Linked DNA regions of Mytilus edulis. The main gene of each other region encodes a partner of the protein of the gene in region 2 in a complex. Links are inferred from orthologs where the notes say so. Each region holds a gene or a part of one and is shown on either strand. Other genes may lie near its edges. The genes, in order: mitochondrial fission 1 protein-like and B-cell receptor-associated protein 31-like.

What was found.
Region 1: the proteins of B-cell receptor-associated protein 31-like (region 2) and mitochondrial fission 1 protein-like are in contact, whole or in part, in a crystal structure (PDB 8XWX), measured with the Homo sapiens proteins. The link is inferred for Mytilus edulis from reciprocal best matches to the Homo sapiens genes BCAP31 and FIS1. Residues at the interface, in NP_001132913.1 of Homo sapiens: Asp224, Leu227, Glu228, Ala231, Lys232, Ala235; in NP_057152.2 of Homo sapiens: Arg52, Val56, Glu59, Glu60, Pro63, Lys64, Lys89.

The regions. Positions count from the first base shown.
Region 1 is NC_092346.1:45,787,403-45,798,414, forward strand, and holds the start of mitochondrial fission 1 protein-like, read right to left. Parts: upstream 6,120-11,012; 5' UTR 6,047-6,119; coding exon 6,002-6,046; intron 1-6,001. Other genes in the region: SPRY domain-containing protein 7-like, read left to right, coding at 6,401-6,506, 7,371-7,487. UniProt on the Homo sapiens protein: Involved in the fragmentation of the mitochondrial network and its perinuclear clustering. Plays a minor role in the recruitment and association of the fission mediator dynamin-related protein 1 (DNM1L) to the mitochondrial surface and mitochondrial fission.
Region 2 is NC_092344.1:77,903,896-77,914,907, reverse strand, and holds the start of B-cell receptor-associated protein 31-like, read right to left. Parts: upstream 5,678-11,012; 5' UTR 5,451-5,677; intron 3,274-5,450; exon of another isoform or gene 3,272-3,273; coding exon of another isoform or gene 3,177-3,271; intron 2,371-3,176; 5' UTR 2,363-2,370; coding exon 2,268-2,362; intron 618-2,267; exon of another isoform or gene 601-617; coding exon of another isoform or gene 515-600; intron 1-514. Other genes in the region: dynein regulatory complex protein 11-like, read left to right, coding at 5,768-5,778, 9,355-9,445, 9,949-10,185, 10,744-10,863. UniProt on the Homo sapiens protein: Functions as a chaperone protein. Is one of the most abundant endoplasmic reticulum (ER) proteins.

The DNA.
Region 1 (11,012 bases), on a different chromosome or scaffold from region 2:
TGAAATAAAATCATAGTTAAAGTCTCTCAATAGTTTTTTAACTGTTCACGTCTGAATAATTTAACACTTTCACAAGTCTATATAATAACCGTAGTTAATTGAACAGTCTATACATCCACTAATTTCTCCAGGGCAGAAAGTTCTCCAGGGCAGAAAAGTTCATTCACTGTCATCATGTGTACTGCGTATTTCCAACGGATAGAGCTTCACAATCGGACGGTTGGTAATTCCTGTGTCGGTCTTGATAACAGCTGATCGAATGAGTCCATCCTTTCCACGAACTAAATCTTGTACAACTGCTAATTTCCACATTATTCGATTTGTGTCATTGTGTACTTGTACAATGTCACCTATTTGTATTGTTTGTTCGTTTCTTCCAGATGTACGGTGGAATTCAGAGTGACGTCAGATATTCGTGTTTCCATCTTGAGCGAAAATGGTTGATTAGTTCATTATTTCTCTGTAGATTTTTATTCAGTTTCACGTGCAAGTCTTCTGAAGTAACACTGTCAATATTCTGTTCCGATTGGTTGTCAAGTCGACGACCATATAACAGGTGCGCTGGCGTCAGCGGTTCGGGATCTTTAATATCAGTAGAAATGTGATTTATAGGACGATTATTTAGAGTTCCCTCGATTTCGATTACAATTGTATTCAACATTTCCGTAGTGACACATGACTTTCCTAGTATTACTTTAATTGACTTTTTCGTGAGTCCAATTAGGCTTTCCCAAAAGCCTCCAAACCACAGTGCTCGGTTGGGTATAAATTTCCACTCAGTTCCTTGATCGGCAAGTTTTTCTTGTATTCGGTTGTCTTTGCTTGATCTTGTAATCTTTTCGGCGGCTGCCTTGAAGGTTGTTGCATTATCGGACAACATAATCCTTGGTGTAGATCTTCTAGCGACAAATCTTTTAAAAGCAAGCATGAAAGACTCCTCGGTTAAATCTGTGACTATCTCCAAGTGTATAGCTCGTGTAGCGGCGCAAGTGAATAAACAAATATATGTTTTGCTTAATTCGTTGTGTTTTCCTTTTGTATACAAAGCTCCTGTGAAATCAACGCCGGTTACTGAAAAAGGATAATCGTAGTTGACTCGATCTTTAGGAAGCGGTGGCGGATCGGGTGCGCTGTAAGGCATTCCTGATATTTTAATGCATTGAACGCATTTACGAATTTGTGATTTTACGCACTGTCTTATTCTCGGTATCCAATATTTCTGTTGAATATATGCGATTGTACTGTTAAGTCCGGCATGAAAAGTCTTTGTGTGTGCATCCATTACGATAAAGGACATAAGACTGTGGTGTGTTGGCAATAACAACGGATATTTAGTACTCTCCTTAACAGGTGCGTTTTGTATTCTCCCGGTACAACGTAGTAATCCGCTTTTGTCTGTATAAAGTTTAAGTTGTCGAACAAGTTGCACTTTTTTCTGTGAAGATGAATTCAAGCTTTCAATTTCATCCTTAAATGTTTGCTGTTGTGCTGTTACTATTAGAACTTCTAATGCTTTACATCGCTCCTCAACACTGATAAATCCGATTGTTCGTTCTCTTGAGTTCCGTAAATTCTGTATAAAGCGCAAGACGTATGCTGTTACTCTAATTGCTTTTTCTAAAGATCTGTATCGTTGTATATCTATACATGAAATTGTCTGTGTTGAAGCATTTGTACTTTCATCTTCTGTATTTTCATCACTAACAGTTACCATCGTGCTGCAATCTTCAATTTTCCTTGTCCATGTCGGCCAATTTTTACGATTTAAAATCCATTGTGGACCGTTCATCCATAAGCTGTTGTTATAAAGTTGTTAAGCGTAAATTCCGCGAGTTAAGTAATCAGCTGGATTGTCATCTGTTGGACAATAATTCCATTCAGCATTCTCTGTTAATTTTCGTATTTCTTTAAGTCGATTTTCTACGAACGGTTTTAATATTTTTGACGATTTAATCCAACTCAAAACAATCTGACTATCGCTCCACATATACACATGTTCTGTTGTTATGACTTTAAGAAGATGCGTTGCTAATCTGGCGCCGATAAGCGCGCCCATAAGTTCTAAACGTGGTAATGAAATCGGTTTAACGGGTACTACTCTGTTTTTAGCCATGACAAGGATCGATGAATTTGCTGTAACTAAGTAAGCACAAGCTCCGTATGCTAACTGACTGGCGTCTGTGAAAATATGTAGTGACGTTTTCTCGTTAAATACTCCTTCCGTTAACATTCGTGGAAATACTATTTTGGTAGCCTCCTTGATATCTAAAGCTATTACCTGCCATTTACTTCTCAGTTTGTCGGACAAACATTCATCCCAATCCAACTTTGCCTTCCATAATTAGTCTGCATAAACAGCTTAGCTTTCGCCGTAATTGGCGTGATTAATCCAAGGGGGTTGAAAATTCTAGACGATGTGCGCAAAACCTCACGTTTTGTTATCATTTTGTCCTTTTCCATAAATTCAATCTGTTGAAATTTCAAATCATCGGATTCCCTATCCCATCTCATGCCTAAAATTTTGACTATGTCGTCATTGTCGCCGATCTTGTCTAGTCCTGCGACGTTCTGTAATTCCGTACTATTAGAATTCCAAGACCGTAAGTTGAATCCTGCTTCTGACAATAATTTTCTTGACTCCGTGTAGAATTTCAAAAGTGATTGTTCATCTGTAAAACTGGTCAGAACGTTATCCACGTATAAGTTTCTCTGTAATTCAGTTGATGTAGTTGACGGATTGTCTCTAAAATGTTTCATTAGTGTGGCGCTTAACATGAATGGCGAACAGGTGGCGCCGAAAAGTACAACTTTAAACCGGTAAGTAATCAAACGGCTTTCTGTGTCCATGTGATTTTCTAACCAATAAAATCTTGTGACATCTCTGTCATCAACATCTAATTCAATATGCAAAAATGCTTTTTCAATATCTGCTGTAACTGCATATTTGTACATTCTAAAGCGTACTAATATCTCCGTCAAATCAGTCATAATTGGTGGATATGTTGCTAGGCAATCGTTAAGACAAGGGCTATTGTCGTTCGCTCTACAGCTACAGTTATATACTATGCGTATCGGGGTGGTGACTGAATCCTTTTTTACGGGATGATGCGGAATGTAATGAACCTTGTTTGTGCATGTAATTTCATCACATACCTTTTCAATGAATCCTCTTTGTTCTTGGTCTGTAATTATCTCACCATACTTTTGGAACATCTCCGGATCCTTCTTCAGTCGACGAATAACGCTTTCCGTTCTGCGTTTTGCGATGTCTTTATTTGTCGGTAGTTCTGGCGCATTCTCTCTCCATGGTAATTTCGCAATATACTTATCATTTTTCTTCGTAATAGAGGTTTGTAAGTAATTTTCAATTGATTCAGCTAGGTCTGGATCATTTTGTTCTTTAACGTCAATTCCCAACGATTCAAGCTTCCAAAATTGTTCAAGATCGCACTCTTCTTGTTTGTGACAAACTAGTATATTCATCATTGAGAAAGATGCATTGCTGGTTCGTGTAGGGACAGGACCGGAAAGTAAATATCCAATTTTCGAGCTAACTGCGGTTGGACCGTTTCTACGCACTATTTTGTCTTGAACTATGTCCCAGTAGAAATCACCTCCAATTAATAAGGATATTTCAAATTGCTCTCCATCCATGACTGGGTGTGCTAATTGTAGACCACGTAAATAAGAAAACTTCTGCGTTATTCCTATGTTGTGAGTTTGAAGTGGTGAAGCAATGGTTGGTACAATTAAAACTTTAATAGGGATTAATTCTCCTTCGGTAGAGTTAAGATTAATTGTTGTTTTGTCAAGATTTCTCACCTTTTTTGTAGTACTTCCAAATGTAGCTATACTTAATGTTTCAGAACCTTCTTTTTTAATGTCCAATTTAGCTGCTAGTTCTTCCGTTATAAATGAGCGCTGAGCTCCCTCGTCAAAGAGTATTCTATGTGTAAATACATCTATACAGTGTACATGTATTTTTGTGAACGACTGGACTGAATGCGGTTTTCAGTAAAACAGTGGACCTTTCTTCGCTAGCGGTATACAACATAGAAGTTTCTGTGTCTACTTTATTTTGCGATTGTTCAGTTTCAATATGATGTTTATTTCAGTACGAGTTCTGTTTACATAATGAAGAGTGATGCTTCCGGTGGCAACACTTACACATATTCTTGGATTTGCAATCGGCTATTTTATGCTTACCTAAACAATTAAAGCATAATCTCTTTCCTTTATAATGGCTACTCTTTTATCGTGATCTATGATATCTTTACATTCGTTAGGCCAGTGGTTTCCGTCACAATATGTGCATTGTTTCTTCCGATTCGAGTTGAATGATTTGTCTGTTGTGTTTATCGGACGGGTTTTATCTGTAGTTACTCGTTTAACGCCTGTTATGAAATTTGCGCTAGGAGTGGCGGTTGAATACGTCTGCGTATAATCTCCGTATCCGGACTCTTGAATAGAAATCTCTTTACCTATCGCGTTTCTAAGCGATTGAATATTCCAACTGTCGCTCCCGTTTTCTCGTGTTATATTTTTTCATACTTCATGCGGTATCTTCCCGAGAATTACTGGTATCAATAGCGATCCGTACATTTCCTGACATTGTCCAAGAGACTCTAGACCCTGTATGTAAGCTTCTGATTTGTCATGAAATGTTCTCAAACTTTCTAATGTATCATGTGGTGCGGGTATATCAAGTAGTGCTCTCATATATGCATTTATGATTTTATGTGGTTGCCCATAGCGGTTTCTCAATAATTCAATTGCTTTGTGGTAGTTTGGATTTGTCATGGTCAATCCTGAAATTACGTTTGCAGCTTCAAATTGAAGCAATGAGTTCAAGTACGAAAATTTCTGAATGTCAGTTAATGTGTGATTGTGATGAATCGTGGTCTCGTATGAATCCCAGAAATATTGCCATTGTAGAATGTCTCCATTAAAATTGGGAAGAGATAGCTTTGGTAGGCGATGGTTATTACTTGAGGTCGAACTTGACTGAGATAATGGCTGACTTGTGTGAGTGAAGGGGTTTGTGTACAGAACAAACTCTGGTGCGTTTGAATCTAGTATAGAAGATGTTGCGTTTGTTACGGGCTTTAAGAACTTCTTAAATTTTCGAATTTTACCCTCTAAATCTAAATAATACTCATCTGTTTCAAGAATTTCATTTGTAATATCTTCTGATTCGACTGCATTTAATATCTGTTCATCTATTGAGGCTTACGTCTTCTTTTTCTTCTCAATTGCTTCGAGCAATGTTGATACTTCCTCCGTGTCTATTTGTGAATCTCCGATGGCTTCCTCCAGTTTTTTGAAAACTTTTGTTACTGCTGCTTTGTTCCCCGCTCTCAAGGATTTTAATCGGCTGATGTCCATTCTCTCCGTTTGAAGTCACGGCACCAATGTAGAATATTGCGTTGTGTATTTTATCGTAAGTTATCTAAGGCGTTAAAGATAGAACTACGTCTGCCATTATACGTTTCTATTCAATACAACATAAAGTATAACAATAACGCGACGTCACAAAGATAGCTGCCGTACCGCAAAAAGGTACGTTAATATTAGCGCAATTCTTAACACCTGGTCATCCTAGACAACACAGATGTTGGTTCTGATAAGTTTAGAAACATAATTAGTCCCTGAATCATTAGTATTCTATATTTGAAGCTACAATAAGATTAAATCACTTCTTCTAGTGATTAATTTGTGCTACTTAAATAGGTGATTATTAAAGAGAGACAACTCTAACTTCCAACCTTTATGAACATAATGTTACTTGAATCAGTGATTCAGAAAATCACTCTTCTAAATCACTCATTAAGTAAGTCCCCTGACTGGTCACTGACCACTGTGTGTTTTTCTCTCTGGCTCCTTCTTTCTTTGACAACACTATAATTTAGGTTTTTTGTATGTTTATTTTCCCTTCATATATTCTATCCATATTGCATGATTTGGTCAAATGTATGAAGAGACACTAGACATTTATTCGTACCTTTAAGTCATTTTCGTCGCAAATTTCGTTCACAATCCGATCCATTTCTAGAAATCAATGTCAATTAAACGCTTTCCCACATTTCATATCAATAAGTTGTCCTAAAACATTAGCAAGATTGCGCTTACGTGGAAACATAAAATTAGACCACTTTCCGAGATGGAACGAATATAAAGCAGTCATGGAAAATACACATTTCATCCAAAATAATGTCTTTCTTAGAATAAGATAAGAACAAATGATGTTACCAAGTCTCTAAAATTGACATATAAGGCAACGATTTATGTTAAAGATTACAAATTTGTCTTTACAGTTTAAAAACATAACTTTACCTTCAGACTAGTTTCCGGATTTCCACATCAAAACAATATTTTGATTCAAAATTAGTAATATAGTAAAATGTCACTTACAAGATGTCTTTGCTGTTTAAGAATGCTAAATGGCAATTCAGGACATATACCCTTGAAGGAAATTCCAACAGTACAACTTGACACAAATCACATGGGTAAATCACTAAATTTTTTGAAAATAATTTAGTTTTTGTTTTGTTTGTATCACAGGAAATTCTATCAACAATGATAAGATATATAGTGCTCACTTCAGGCACTACTTCAGGGTTCTGATCCTAAACTTGCTTATTGTTTTGTCAGAATCATGTGTCTCACTTATCATGCCTATCATAATTTGCAATACTACTACTAGCACTTGTGATATATATTATTTTACATTTACGCCGAACATTGTTTCTGTTTCTGTCACACATTAGAAAAATGGGTGAATCCTGCAACAGACTTTGATCCTAATAAGAACCACCATATAGGTATCTTAAAGATCTTTTTGTAAATTAATTATATAAAAAAAATATAGAAATATATTAGTTTAACAAGCTATAAACAATCTTAAGGAAGGATACATTCATGTCAATTGTCACCTTAAAATTGTTTTATGTGTTTAAAGAAACTACCTATAAAAATTTGATTCAGAAAACGAAAGCTGTTTTTAAATTTATTATAATACAAAATTCAAAGTGGGTCTCATTGGGGTCTATTAGCGTGATGCGAAATTGCTGATTTTTTGTAAGCGTGACATGTGAAAGTCAAATTATTGTGGCGTGAAAACGGGAAATGAGGTCTTGCGGTACCCTGGAAATGATAAAAAAATGAGAATTGCTTACATATATAGTGTAAGCGGGATACGGGAATATGACAAAACAGTAAGCAGGATCCGTGATCAGAACCCCCCAATGAAACCCCTTCAAAGTTACATTAATACTTTTGATAATTTTCTGTTATTTTAGTAAATTTATGCTTAGTTGATAATTATTTTTTTATGCTTAAATGTAAAAATGTACATGTGTTTAACATTTCAGGTAATGATGTTGTGATTGTGAAAAGTGGTAAAAGAATATGTGGAACAGGTGCAGCATTGTCAAATGCTCCTATAGCACAAGATAAAGCTTACTTTGAAGTAAAGCTACAGAGTACAGGTAATTCATAGATTGATTTTGAAACCAAGTATTAATATAATTTTTTACATCCAGAAAACTATCCAGAATTTAACTTATTTTTAAAAAAGAACAAAGGAGTAGGGGCAATATAAGGCCTAGTTTTGGCCCAAGAAAATGAAATGTTTGATAACTATTTCAAATTGGCACATAATGTTTAAAAATGCTTAGGGTCAAGAAATATAAATGAAAAACATTAAGATTTGTATCTGATGACCTCACAATTAAGTCATAATATGAACTGTTTTTACAAAAACCATGAAAAATACAGAAATTATGCAGTTTTCTGACTTTATTTCTGTTGTGGAGACATCCTGCGCAGCCGAGAAACAACAAAATAATTTAACAAAAGCTTTATTATAACTATTGGCATTATCTCATCAAATATAAAGTTGTTTCTTGGGTGCGCACATACTTTTTCAGTCTAAAATATACTTAAAAATTTGATGAAAAAACAAGGAAAATCACGAAATTTAACAAAATATGCAAATTAGGTTATGATTTGTTGCCATGGTAACTTGTTGATGTCATTTTTTTTTGTGTTTTTGTTTGTACCTTATACCTTAGATAAATTTTCAGTAATTTAACAATATGTATGATTACTTTAAAATTTTCAGTAATTTTTGGGCCAAATAAGGGCCTTATTGCCCCTACTCTTTTTCAATGAAGACTATTAAAGTAATTGCTATATATTTGATTTCTTAATTAAGCCAAAAAATTGAGCCCAACTTTTTGATACATATTATTTCATGTAAGAAAAATAATTTGCATTTGAGTGGTCATTCTTAGGAGTATAAGTGATAAATATATCTTCTTGCTTACACAATGATAAGGCAACACTTTGATTTGTTATTATAACATTCTAACAAAGTGGTTCAGATCAGTAATTTACTGGTTATGTCCCTTTGATAACACTTCACTTTTGTAAGAACTTTTATACAGTTTTATTTTTTAAGAACCATGTGATGTTTTTTATAAGTGTTAATAATTAGTAATTTCAGTTGTTTTTATTCTGAAATGGTTTGATTTTTGGGGATATCTATTTATCTGTAAATGTTAGTGTTCATGGATTTCGTGAGTAGAAGGGAACCTTGAATTTAAATGTTCAACAAATTCCGTTTATTCTATAGTAGGAATGTCATTAATGTATACAGAAACTGACGAATTAACAAAACCAAATAACAAATAAAATGCAAGATTTTCTCAATCCAAGAAAATAAATCTGTCCACAGAACTCCATTTGAAGATAATATATATATCATTTGCATGTGTGAAAGAAATAAAATACAATATATATGTACCACTAAAAGTCTTGATGATTCAGTTAACACAGGTTTTTTAAAGGGCAACAAAAACAGGTAAAATGATATTGTTTCTAGTGTAACGGAGGGGGTCGGTGACGACACCTCCCGGGACGTGTAGTGGCCAGTACTTCGCCCCTATTCGACCATCGGGATACCTGATATCAGATTATGGCTGAACAACAAACAATTAATCAAATGAAAACTATATTTTATTCACAAATGTACAATAATTGCATGAATTTAAACAAAGTCGGATAAAACAGGAGTCAGAAAACTTTCTTAAATGAAGTTCAAAAATAAAGTAATTTCAAATGTAAAATGAAAACTAGAGTGTTCCCAGAGTTAGTCTTTTAAGTAAAATAAAGTAAAATTGCTTTGCGTTGTGTTTAAAAGTAGTAAAATTGCACCAAAAAGGGGTGACTAACTCTGGCGAACTGCACCGAAGTGGTGGCTAACTCTAGACTCGATTAGTACTAATATTAGTTCCGGCGAGTATTTGGAGGCCTGTGCAAGGCCGACTCCGACTGAATATCAAATGATATCCTAAACTTTTCATTAAACAGGCTAACTTTAACATAAAAGGTACTGAAGAAAAGTTAAATAAATGAATATTCTTAAAACATTATAAAAACATCAAAAGTTAAATACTAAAACAGTTAAATTAACATTCTTTACTTTTATCCTACTATATTTAAATCAAATTTAACTAAAAATAAACATTTAAATACTAAATAATTAATCTGTCCAAATTAAGGGGAATTAACCTAGGCATATCAAGGCACATCTATTACAATCCTCCCCCCTTAGGACAAATATTAAAGAAATTAATATTTGGGAAAAGATTTATTTAAAATAGATGTGTTCAAAATAATTAACAAAAATATAAATCAATGCACAAAAAATGTCAATAAATGTCACAAAAATGTCAAATAATCACACGGTCCAACCATAGGAAAAGTTCACACAGTATAAACATCCAGGAATAGTCGGTAAACACAAATTATAAAGTACGGTCCATAGAATATAAATGTAAACGGACACAGTTATACAGCATTCAATAAAACACAGTTCTAGATTCAAACGGAAACGGAATGGTAATACGGATAATCTGCATGGTCCAAGTTGTACCAGGTATAGTCCACCAATTGTTGTTCTCACGAAAACACTTTAAACGTGTGTTTTCGGGTTCTAAAAAGTCTATCGTTGTACCAGGTTTAGTCCACCATTGTAGATCTCACGGAATCACGTATAACATGTGATTCCGGGTTCAAGATGATCAAAGTTCAAACGTTGTACAAAGAGTAAGAAAGGTGCTCTTGATAACAAGAACTGCTTACTTTATCAGGTGGTTGTCTTCACACTTAAACTTTCTGCCACTCAATAGATTTCTGCCATGACTTATAAAAGTCACAAAAGGAAAACCATAACCAAACTAAACAAATTTAAAACAATAAAACTTGTTCAGAAAGGTTAAAAATCCAAAAAAATGAGCAAACTCATAAATAAACCTATTCAAACAAGAAACTTAGCTACAAACTAAACAAACCAACATCTAAAGAAAAACACAATCAAATCAAACAACGTTTTGAGGGTGTTTTGATGGCAAAACCGGCTCATTAACGTGACCAAGAAAAACAACAAATCCAATGAAAACTTTGAAACCATACCTACTAAACAATAATATAAAGTGACAAAATAAGTAAAATACTAAATATACAAATTAAAACTAAAAAAACATACTATATGAAAACTTTAACTGGCTTATCCTTCAAACAAGAAAACTCATCCGTGCTAGAAATCAAATAATCAGATAAACAGCTTTGCAAATCAAATGAAAATAAATTTTGAACTTTGTTGACAACTTTGCATGATTTTTTTACTTTCTTATGAACTGCAGTAGAAACTGGTTTTTCTGGTTCAACAACATGAACAGAATTGACACTTTTACAAACTTTATTGGGACAATTAGCTCTGATATGTCCAACTACCAAACAATTAAAACATTTTTTTACTTTAAACTTCTTATAAACCAGCTTTTTAAGAACTTTGACAATTTGATCAAAACCAGACTTCAAACAACTAAAATCACAGTTTTCTTCACTTTCCTTAATTTCACATTCAACAGGTTCAACTGTCAAATTAAAACATTCAAACTCTGTAGCCAAAAATATAGCATCATCAAAAGTTTCAGGATGCTTAAAAT
Region 2 (11,012 bases):
GTATACATAACTTAGCTATAGCTAACATTGTCATCAAAATGGGCAAAAACTGTGCATCAGGAAATACTTCACATTAAGCTGTTTATTTTAAGAGGGCTCTTAATAATATGTTTCTCAACATATTCTTTTATTTCATTACTGTCCACATTGTATAGATTGAATGCTAAAATCCCCATATACATAAAATACTACTGTGGATTCATTTATTTCGTGGGTATCAATTTTCGTGGATTGAGAAAAACTAACACTTTGATGTTAAATTTTGTGTTTTTCTTAAAGTCTGCATACAGGTCTATGGAAATTTTGTAGTTTGTTGAACATTAAAATTTGTAGTTCCCCTGTACCCACAACATCCAAGAACATTGGTATCCAACTAATAATTTAAGAAATAAATAATCATGATAATGTATCCACAGTAATTAAAATTGAACAATTTTGAGAAAATTTGTTGACAACTTAGTTTACATTGTATATATGTACATGGCAAATATCGTGAATATATATCCCAACCTACCTGGATGGTGGGATAAAAGGGATTAAAAGGATAGCTGAGAGGAAGATCTCCAGATACAGGAATAAAGCTATGAAAGTCCAAAGCATTTTAGGATGTGGTTTGCCTGAAATAGACCATCATGTGATCAGGGTACTAGATATTCTACACCAGCATGTGGTCAAAGTACTAAATATCCTATATAATTGGATATTATTTATGTGTAATATTGAGTAAAGAAAATCAGGTCATCTATGTATCTATGTAAAAATAAACGGAATTTTAAAACAAGAAAACCTAGATGCATTGATATCCCACTCGCCAAAAGAGTTTAGAAAGATATTTATTGATATGGAATTGCAAAAACATTCTGATATTTGTATATTTTCTAATTTTTATAACAATAGGCCATCTGTCAAGTCATGCTTAAATAATTTGACATGATACTCCCTTAAATTTAAAGATTACTCCCAAACTAAATATTGAAAAGTATTTTTTATCAAGTAATACATCTTTTCTTTTAGAAAATAAAAAATAAAATTAGTGCAAATTTCACAGACATTCTAAAAAACCTCTAAATATTGAATGCATTAGAAGTCGTTTTGGGGCCATGATTTGTTCACATTATCTAATGTGATTATTACACAATTTTCAAAAAAGTTGCATGAAACAATTTCTTCATAAATGTCAAATTTTACATAAACCTGTATTACACTAACTTTCTATACTTTATATTACTACAATGGAATATTATTGCCCATGATACCATACAAAATATAATGCTTTTAATATGCAGGTTCCAAAATGCAGAGGAAATAACTTTCTCCCCATGCTTAATAGGTTTGTAAGAACTGTAAATTCAGAAATTATTGCAATTTGTTTAATTTTTGTGATTGAGAAAATCCTGTTTAATTCATACAAAGAATTTTAAAATGTGAGTTTGAATTATTGCGATTATAACTCAGACTCATTTTTCACAATAATAAGAACATCACAATAATTTCTGAATTTACAGTATCAAAATCACTTAGGCCACAATGAAAATAATATGTCCAGGTTTTCATCCATATCTTTTTTTTAAATTGAAAAGAGATGGCATTTCAATTTTACTGTTTAAGTCATGTTAATTCATTAATTATGGTAATGAATTGGTTCCATGTTGAAATGGAAATTGATAAAAAAAAAAAAAAGAAGAAAAAAAAGGAATATATACAAATATTTTGAGAGGATTTTGGATGAAAATCTTGAAGTACTTTAATTTCATTATGGCCTTGAAAATCCAAATGCATGAGATTAAAGGTGTACAATCAGTATCCTGTTTTATACATTTGACATTGTTTGATTTGCACTTTCTTACTCAAATCAGAATTGTGGATACATGAACCAATATATGATGACAGTTGTTTTATATAGATATATACACCTTTAATTAGATTAATGTCTGTGTAAATGATAATTCATGAACATGATGCAATGTTAGTTATCTAATTTTGCTTAAAGCATCATTGACTCCTTTAAAACTAATGTGGTTTTCAATGAGTTTCTACAGTATATTTTTTAATAATTTTAAATTGATTTTTAATAAAATCAAGAATGGAAATGGGGAATATGTCAAAGAGGACAACAACCAAACCAAAGAGTAAAAAAACAAACAGCCAATGGTTCTTCAACACAGCAACAGATTAATTTTTACCAGATTAAAAGGCCACATGGGTTTTGTAGAAGTCAATATGTACAGTAGCTGCCACTAATGAATGCTGTAAAGATCAGTGCTTACCTAGATGGAGAAATATATGGTATCAATAAAATTACCGATACAAATATTTCAAGATACATAAACCCCGAAATGGAAGTCCATATTATACCAGTCATTGTTAAATCTGTACAGGAAGAAAACTAAAGGTCATAATGCAGGACAATAATAATCCATTTCATTCATTGTTAGAAATTATTTGTACCAAATTCTTTCACAAGAGTGCTACTAAAAAAATGCATAGGACATGATTTGTGTTTAAATTTCAGATAATAAGCCAAATTATATAATAGCTGCACATTTATATTAATTACTATAATTACTAGAAAATATTTTTCATGTTCATACATGTACATGTCATATAATTGCTGCATATTTATTAATTACTATAATACTAGAAAAACAGTTTTGAGTTCAAATACAATATTTTAAAAAAGCTCAATTATTTTCTTTTTAAAGCTATTCTATAATGAAAAAAATTGTAGTACAATATTAATTTCCAACTCATAAATTATAAATAAATGCACTCTATCAAATCTAAAAGATGATTATAATGATGTCAAATTTTCATGACATGTTTATTGTTCTGATCTCAAAATTTCTGTACATAGAAAACAACTAGAAAATCAACAAATGTTTTTTAAACAACTTAACAAGTTGCCTTTTTTTAATTTTGGTATTTGACAGCCTATAGCTCATTTTAGCTAGCATGGCTAGATTGACAAATAACTATGCACAATTCTTTTTCTTTTTAATAAAGCTTAGTTTGAGATATTCATATCATGAAAAAATTACAAAATGGTTTTATATATGACTGTATGGAAAAGTTAAGCAAATACCATTCAAAAGTGAATTTTCTTGAGAATAGCATTTTGCATGCAAACTGAACTTTTTGCATGTGAAAGCTACGGAATACACATCTGACACTCTTACCTTTGTGCTGATACAAATGGTAACATAAGTATAACAGCTATTGTTATTTCAACATATAGATACCCAGCTATACCTGACCACAGTATTCCAACCATGGCTGTAATAAAACTATTTCTTTTTTACAATTGTATATATACATATATACATATATATAACTGATTTTATTAGCTGAACATCTGAAACATCATGAACATAAACAATAAATGTCGTTATTTTTAATTATATATGTTGTATAATTGTTTAGCGGAAGTTTTTTCCCTTTCTAACATGTGTTTACAGATTTGATTTTTGGTGTTTTAACGCCACTTTTGAGCACCACATTTAGGCTACTTCGTGGCAGCCATTTTTCATTAGTGGAGGAAGCCAGAGTGCCTAGAGAAAACCATTGACCTGCAATAGGAAAACTGACAATCCTACTCAATTAAGATTGGAGTCCAGGGCACCCGAAAGAGCAGGGTTCAAGCTCACAACCTCAGTGTCGAATGGCTAGTGATTACAGTAGTAACAACTTAGACCACTCGGTCACCAAGGCCCCTGTATGTTTACTGTAATCAGCATGATCAGTGTATCCGTAACTCTGTCTGACCAACTTATTGTCTGACAAAATTTCATTTATTCACATAGAAATTTTTAGTTTTTTCTAGTTGAAAATATAGAAGAAAAGGTCAAATTTCTTTTTCGGTCAGTCAAACTTTAATACAGTTTGGAACAGACTGTGCAATTGTGTCATGTATGCAGACATAGTCATGATAGTTTATAATATTAAAATTATCAAAAAGTGTAACCAATCTGATTATAAAGGGCATATGATTCAGTTTTGATCCCATTTTGAAATTTTGATGAAAAATTGCATATAGGCTATTTTTAACCTGATTAAATCAAATATGTAATAAAATATATATACCTTCATGTGCTACTTTTTGAGTAAAATGAGGTTGAAATTTCAGATATTAGCACAAAATTCAGATTTGTGGACGTATTTTTCCTTTTGAACATGTTGAAAGAAATCCATAACTTTTTTTATTTTAAAAGATAAACACAAGCTGTTTTTTGTTAAATTATCTGTAAGTTCTGTTTTATATAAATGTTCTTTATATTAATGCATTTATATTATACAAATAACACATACAAAATGACATATTTATCAAATATTCATGAATGTAGAAAAAAACTCAGTTTTTGCTGTATATTTATCAAATTTAAAAAATTTGCAATATTGACACTCTCTTGAAATTGGTAAAAATAATCTTCATTTGTAAGGAAACCAAATGTCTTTTAACAAAAGAGGTGTCCATGAACTCGTTTTCAAATTAAATCAGTTTGAATGATGAAAATCAGTCAAAAAATGCATCTTTTCTATGATATGTCAGTCTGATGTCGCAAAAATAACATTTCACATTTAACCTCCCTGTTATACACCTTATCACTAATCCTGGCTGACCCGGCCGCTTGAACTTTTGAAGCATACAACAATCACTTTTCCATTGTGGCATCAGATATTTTGTTTTATGACGTCAAAATTTTACGGCAACCTGTGTGATTTTCAGTAATGACAGACAAATAGCGATAAGGTGTATTTTATCATATGCCCTTAAACAAGCAATTTTATTAACAAGAATATATGAGGGTGGTAAAGGGTTATTTTCGTGCAACGTGATCGCCGTTTTTTATTTCACGTTCAACGTGTTTTTACTTTTTTATTTGACGTTCAGTCGTGCAAGACGGGTGCCTCGTTCAACGTGTTCTGCTTATTTAATTTTACGTGCATCGTGATTTTCAAAGTCTTATTTTGCGTGCTCGGTATTTTTCAAATAAAATTCAAACACTTGGCAGGGATCTTCAAGAAATACTTTTTTAAACGCCGTAAACCAATTATAACATTAATGTGTATACTAAATTGGGAAAATCAAGTAAAACAAAGAGTTAATATATACAAGAAGACAGTGATTCAGTCATAAAAGGTTCACATAAAAGTATTTATTTTTCGTGCAACGTTCATTACAGAAATTATTTCACGTTTTTCTCGTGCAAGCTACCCCCCTTTACCACCCTCATATATGTATATGAACATGATGAATGCTGTTATAAATTTTTTTTAATGAAAGGGGTCTACGTGAATGGTGGCAAACCAAGTTTCAGATTGGAGAATCTACATTCAAAAGTAAGACCATTTCGTGAAGGAGAAAAATAGATTAAATTTTGAATGAATGTCGAAAAGAGGTTTTGCCTTCCTGTTTCATATTGGCTTATTGACTTTTTCTAATGTGTACCGACCTGTTGATTTTTCAGTTTCCCTATGTACTTTTTGTGTTTCTAGGTTTATTTCACGATGACTCTAAACACAAACCTTTACTATATCTTAAATTATGAAGATAAAAAAAGTTGCAATATTCTCGAAAGTGACCTTCTTAGTCATTAAATGTCTTGTAAGCTATCGTTAATATCAGTTGCTAAAAACGATAATTTGACTAAGATCGATGACAATTCATAATCTCGGCAAGGATTTGTAAGCGAGATTTAAACGTTGTTATAGAAACACAAACATCATGGCGTAAAATTTGTAATCTGCATTATTTTCTGTTAGTTTGAGGATGTCTCACAGGTTTGTTTATCCACTTAATTCTTAATTCTATGAATATTTGAATTTTACAAGTCAGTAATTGCTTTGAAATACCAAAGCATCGCATGTTTTACCATTGGCAAGGGTTTTGATTGCACTTAATTAATTTTTCAAGTTGATCATAAAAACATTTGTCTGTTTGTTGATAAAATGTTGGGACCTCTCAAGTAAAAGAACTCTTGAAAGCCATGCAAATTGCTTGTTTCTTGTACTCCTATAATTTTTAATTTTGGAAGTAACACATCTTCTGACGTGGGTGATATTTAATGTCAACGTTTTTATAGTCGCCGTCAGCTGAAATTCGTAGTGGTTATCGGTAAAAATAATCTAAACTATCAAATGGGTTCACTCGAGATATAGTTTTTCACATTCCATTCATAAATCACAAAAAGAAAAACCACTACCATGACTACTGACCTACCTTTTAAGTGATCACACTGTAATAATCCTGACCTTCACATTTTCCAGAATGTTTTCTATTGTAATTCCGCCATCTTCGTTTCTATGAGGATCATTTGTTTACATATGACATTCGTCACTTGGCTCAATATCTTTAATTGTTTTTACATAGGCGGTAATGGTAACGTTTTTTCCTGTAGCTCAGTCCATATTGTAAACTTGGATATGTATGATAGCTCGTTACGAAGCTGTGACATTTTCACATATGTGGTTAAATTTTTCGGGGTACGAAGTGAGATTACATGTACTTTTTCCGTAAATTAGCAAACCCCGAACATCCTTTTGTGATGCGGCTCCTTGTGGTAAAATATCCCCTTTTTAACACAATAAGTTCTTTGAAAATTTAATACTTTGAACACATTCAATAGCTCCATAGTTTTTACACATTTATTTCTATGTTCCTCTACTTTCCTTATCACCACAAATAATTAAGTTCAGTCATTTGTTAAAAATAGAAACATGTCCATTACCAATATTACTACACAGAGATTTTTTCTTTACACGTGACTTTTGTCAAATACACCTTATCGCTTTTTGTCGGTATCAGGTCCGTTTGCACCCAATACACTTTCGCATCTCACATTTTCGCTAAATTTATTCTTCTTGTCGCTAATTAATTTAGTGAGACCTCTGAATATTTAAGTGCTGTATTTTTTCTTTAGAATGGTGCATGATAGGATGAGCCTAAGGAGGGTCGCGGGTACAAATGTATTTATAAGATTTTCAGAAAAAAATGAAACATTTAATTTTCTTTACAAATTTTATTAAATATCTTAAGTAGTTGTTACTTTATCATATGGTTCAAAAATTATTCCAAAAAATCAATTCCTGTTGGCCCAAGGCGACTTTTAAAATGTAGTTATCATTGAAAAAGCTCCAAATTATCTCCTTTTTGGTGCAAAAATGCCATTTTTTGGCATTAAAAATGAAATATCTTTTTTAACTCATCGGTGACCTATATTTTTTATTGTTGTTTTCGAATAAGCTGTACATAAACTAAATAATTGTAAAATTTAAGGCATTTCTGTAATTTAGTTCTTTTTTTATTTCGATATTACCGCTATTTCTCCTATTAGTTCAACAGAAAAAAAGGACATTTACAAAAATGTATGTTTCTTTCGAAGGCATTGTGAGCGTAAATGAATGTGACCCCAAAATATAGCGAAATCCTATATTAAATAAAAAAATTGATTTAGACCCGCTAGCCCCCTTAAACTTAAGTTCTTTACTGTTGATATTTATGATGTTTGTTTTGAATAATTGTAAGAATGTATGATATAAGGACAAATAAAATATATGAAATATATGATATAAGGACGAATAAAATATATGAAACTAACGCAATAAATAAATGCCCTGGATTGCAATTGATTTAAGATGTATTCAACAACCACACAAAAAAAAAACGATGTCAGAATCTCACTTTATTCATAAACAAAATATTTCAAGCCATACACTATCCAAAACATGATTAAGATTTTATAAACACATACAGAACGTTGTCATAATCTCACTTTATTTAGAAACATTAAGAATTATTCAACACAAAATTGAAATACTTGTTGCCAGAATCACAGAATCACACTTTAATTAAAACAATGATTTTTTTTTTTCATACATGTAGCAATAAACTTACCATGATACAAAAAAAAACTTGTCAGAATCTCAAATTATTAAGAAGCAATGACATATATATTTATATCAATACACCTTCCAAAACTCAGTAAAATTGGGCGTGAACAGACTGGGTGCAAACATGTGGGGTGCGAAAGTGAAAGGGGGCGCATGTGAATTGGTGCGAATGTGATTGGGTGCGAACGGACCCGGATTCCTATTTGTCCACCATTACTAGACGTCTCAAAAGTTGTCATAATAGAAAAATTTTGAAGCTACAATGGAAAAGGGATTGTTGTATGACGTTGAAAATTAAAGTGGGACAGATTCCCGGGTCAAGTGGGAATAGCAGTATTTAGATGTATTGTTCCAGGACTGCAGACCTTAACTTTACTGAGGATTAACAACGTTACATGTGATCAATCATAAACATTTTTATTTGTACCATTACTGCGCCATTAGCAGATGAATTTTTTTTATTGTATTGAAAGATTGGCCATGTTGGCACAAGACTTGATTATTCTGATATATATTAAGTACAGTGAAACCTGGGTAAACCGAACCCCGATAAAACCGAATTTCAGTTGAAACCGAACAATGTTCAAAGTCCCACAAAATTTCCCTATCAATTAACGTTAATTTAACCTGAAAAAAACGAACCCTGTCAACACCGAATTCCGAACGCTTTTTGAAGGCTCGTTAGTAAATTTGTATCTAAAAATTACCTGTCAAAATCGATCAATACCAATAAAAACAATAAACATTATTAATTATTTGCATGATTTAATTAAACAAACACGGAATGGCAGAGTATCCCCGAAGGTATTTGAGGTTTAATGAACTTGTGAGTTGTTATTACAAACTAATTAGCATGTCTGTGTTCATGTATAAAGTGATTTTTTTGTAAAGATACGTTAAACTGGTCAGCTACCCCATCGATCAAAAACAAAAATGTAGCAAAACGTCTATCTTCATCTTCTTTTATTTTTACATTTACATCTAAATCAACACAAGAATAAACTGTTGTCTATTGTGTCACCTATTATCCCTGGTTAGTAAATGCCAAAATTATTTTGGTGTCGACTTCCGTTTACCTCTATAATCTGAACACCTGTGAAAACCGAACAAAACGCAAAGTCCTGAGGGTGTTCGGTTTGGACAGGTTTCACTGTATATTAAATTGTTCCAGGAATTAAGATTTTATAAATGTCACTATGAACATGATGAATAACTGTCAAAACATGTCTATTTAATATAACAGGTCTGACTGTGTAACCTGTAAAGGGTTCATAGAATTCTAATTAAATTTATACCTTAAAGCACTGAAATAAGATTCTATGTCAGCTTAGACATACTGAGATCTGAACTGTTGGTTGACAGGTAATTACACTTATATATATATATATATATATATATATATATATATATATATATATGTACAAGCAATGTTATGTAGACTGTGTATTTTTTCTTTTTCTTTCTTAGCACCTACAACAAACAATGGGGAGAGGGACAATCAGCCTTGCAGGATCTCCTGCAACAGGAAATCCCAGAAGAGCCACCAAAACCAGAAAAGGTTTGTACTACATATCATCCTAACATTCATATTGCATAAACAGAAACTGTAATACATAAATAAACCAACTAATTGAGGTGGGTGAATTTTTTTGTGTGTGATTTTTCAAAGCTGAAAAAAAGTAATTCAATGTATGTTAAACTTGTATCTTTCCTCATGTTCCTTGAATGTAAATTATATCATTTTGAAAATCATGAAATTAAATCATGCATTTGGTTAGAAAGTATTTATATTTTCCAAATAAATCCATACAAATAGGAAAATAAAAAGTTGAATATTTTTCTATATTTTATATACCATGTATACAGTTTATTGGTACAATTTTGGAGGAAGGCAATATTTTAGTCCTAAACAACATACAGTCACAGTCATAATGCATTTTCTTGTTATCAGACCTTGTATGCTATGTTGACCTTTGACTTGTTTACCACTTTTGATGACATACTCTATTAAAAAAAATATTACAAGTTAGTTATACAATGCATATTACAATTTTATTTTAGGATCGTTTGGCAGCATTCCAGTTGCTAGCCACCATGTATATAAAATATATACAAATATTCCGTAAATTAGAGCAGTCATATGATCAGATTGTCCACCCACAGAAAAGAAGAGTTTTACGTCATGTTCTGGATGGAGCTATGGGGAGAATTTTAGAACTGAAACATGAAATGGTCAACCTTGAGTTCTCAGAATACCACTACTTTGATGATGTCTTATCAGATTTAAAGTTGACACCAGTATGTACAACTATCTCATAAATGGTTAAAAAGATAAATAAAGATCCAAATAGATATAAGAAGATGTGGTATCATTGCCCATGAGAAAACTCTTCATCCAAGTCACAATTCATTAAAGTAAACCATTAAAGGTGACTGGTAAAAGTACGGTCTTCAACACAGAGCCATGGCTCACACTGAACAGCAAGCGATAAACAGCCTGAAAAATTACTAGTGTAAAATCATTCAAACTGGAAAACCAACAGACTGATCTATATGAATAAGGAGAAACACTTATGAATCACACCAACAAACGACAACTAATGAACATCAGATTCCATATGTATTGTTTGCCTATCAATTTTAAGAAATTTTCCAAATTATTTCTCTTTTTGATTTTAACAGTTGATAGAGCATTTAAATAAACAAAATTCTCTAATTTCAGATGAAAGTTTTAATGAATATGTGTTTGATTGTTCTACAGATTTAAAATATTTTGTCTGTAAAAGTCCACTTGATTTGTAAAAAGGGTATACACATATTAGCAGACAGAAATTAATTATGAGGTTTTTTTTCCAGAATGATGTAGAAATACCAATTCCAAAGTATTTTATCTATGAAAGAATGGAAGCTTTACAGAAAAGGGAGAAAACTCTTGGTCAGATACTTGCCAAAATGGGACCACAAGACAAAGATGATGTTAGTTCTTTAAATTTGGTTACCTTACAAGAATAAGGAAAAATACTTTTTTAAATATATATATAATTACACTTCAAACTTTCCTATTTATCAAATATTGTATAAAACTAGATTATTAATAAATAAATCTTACTTTATGATAATCAGTC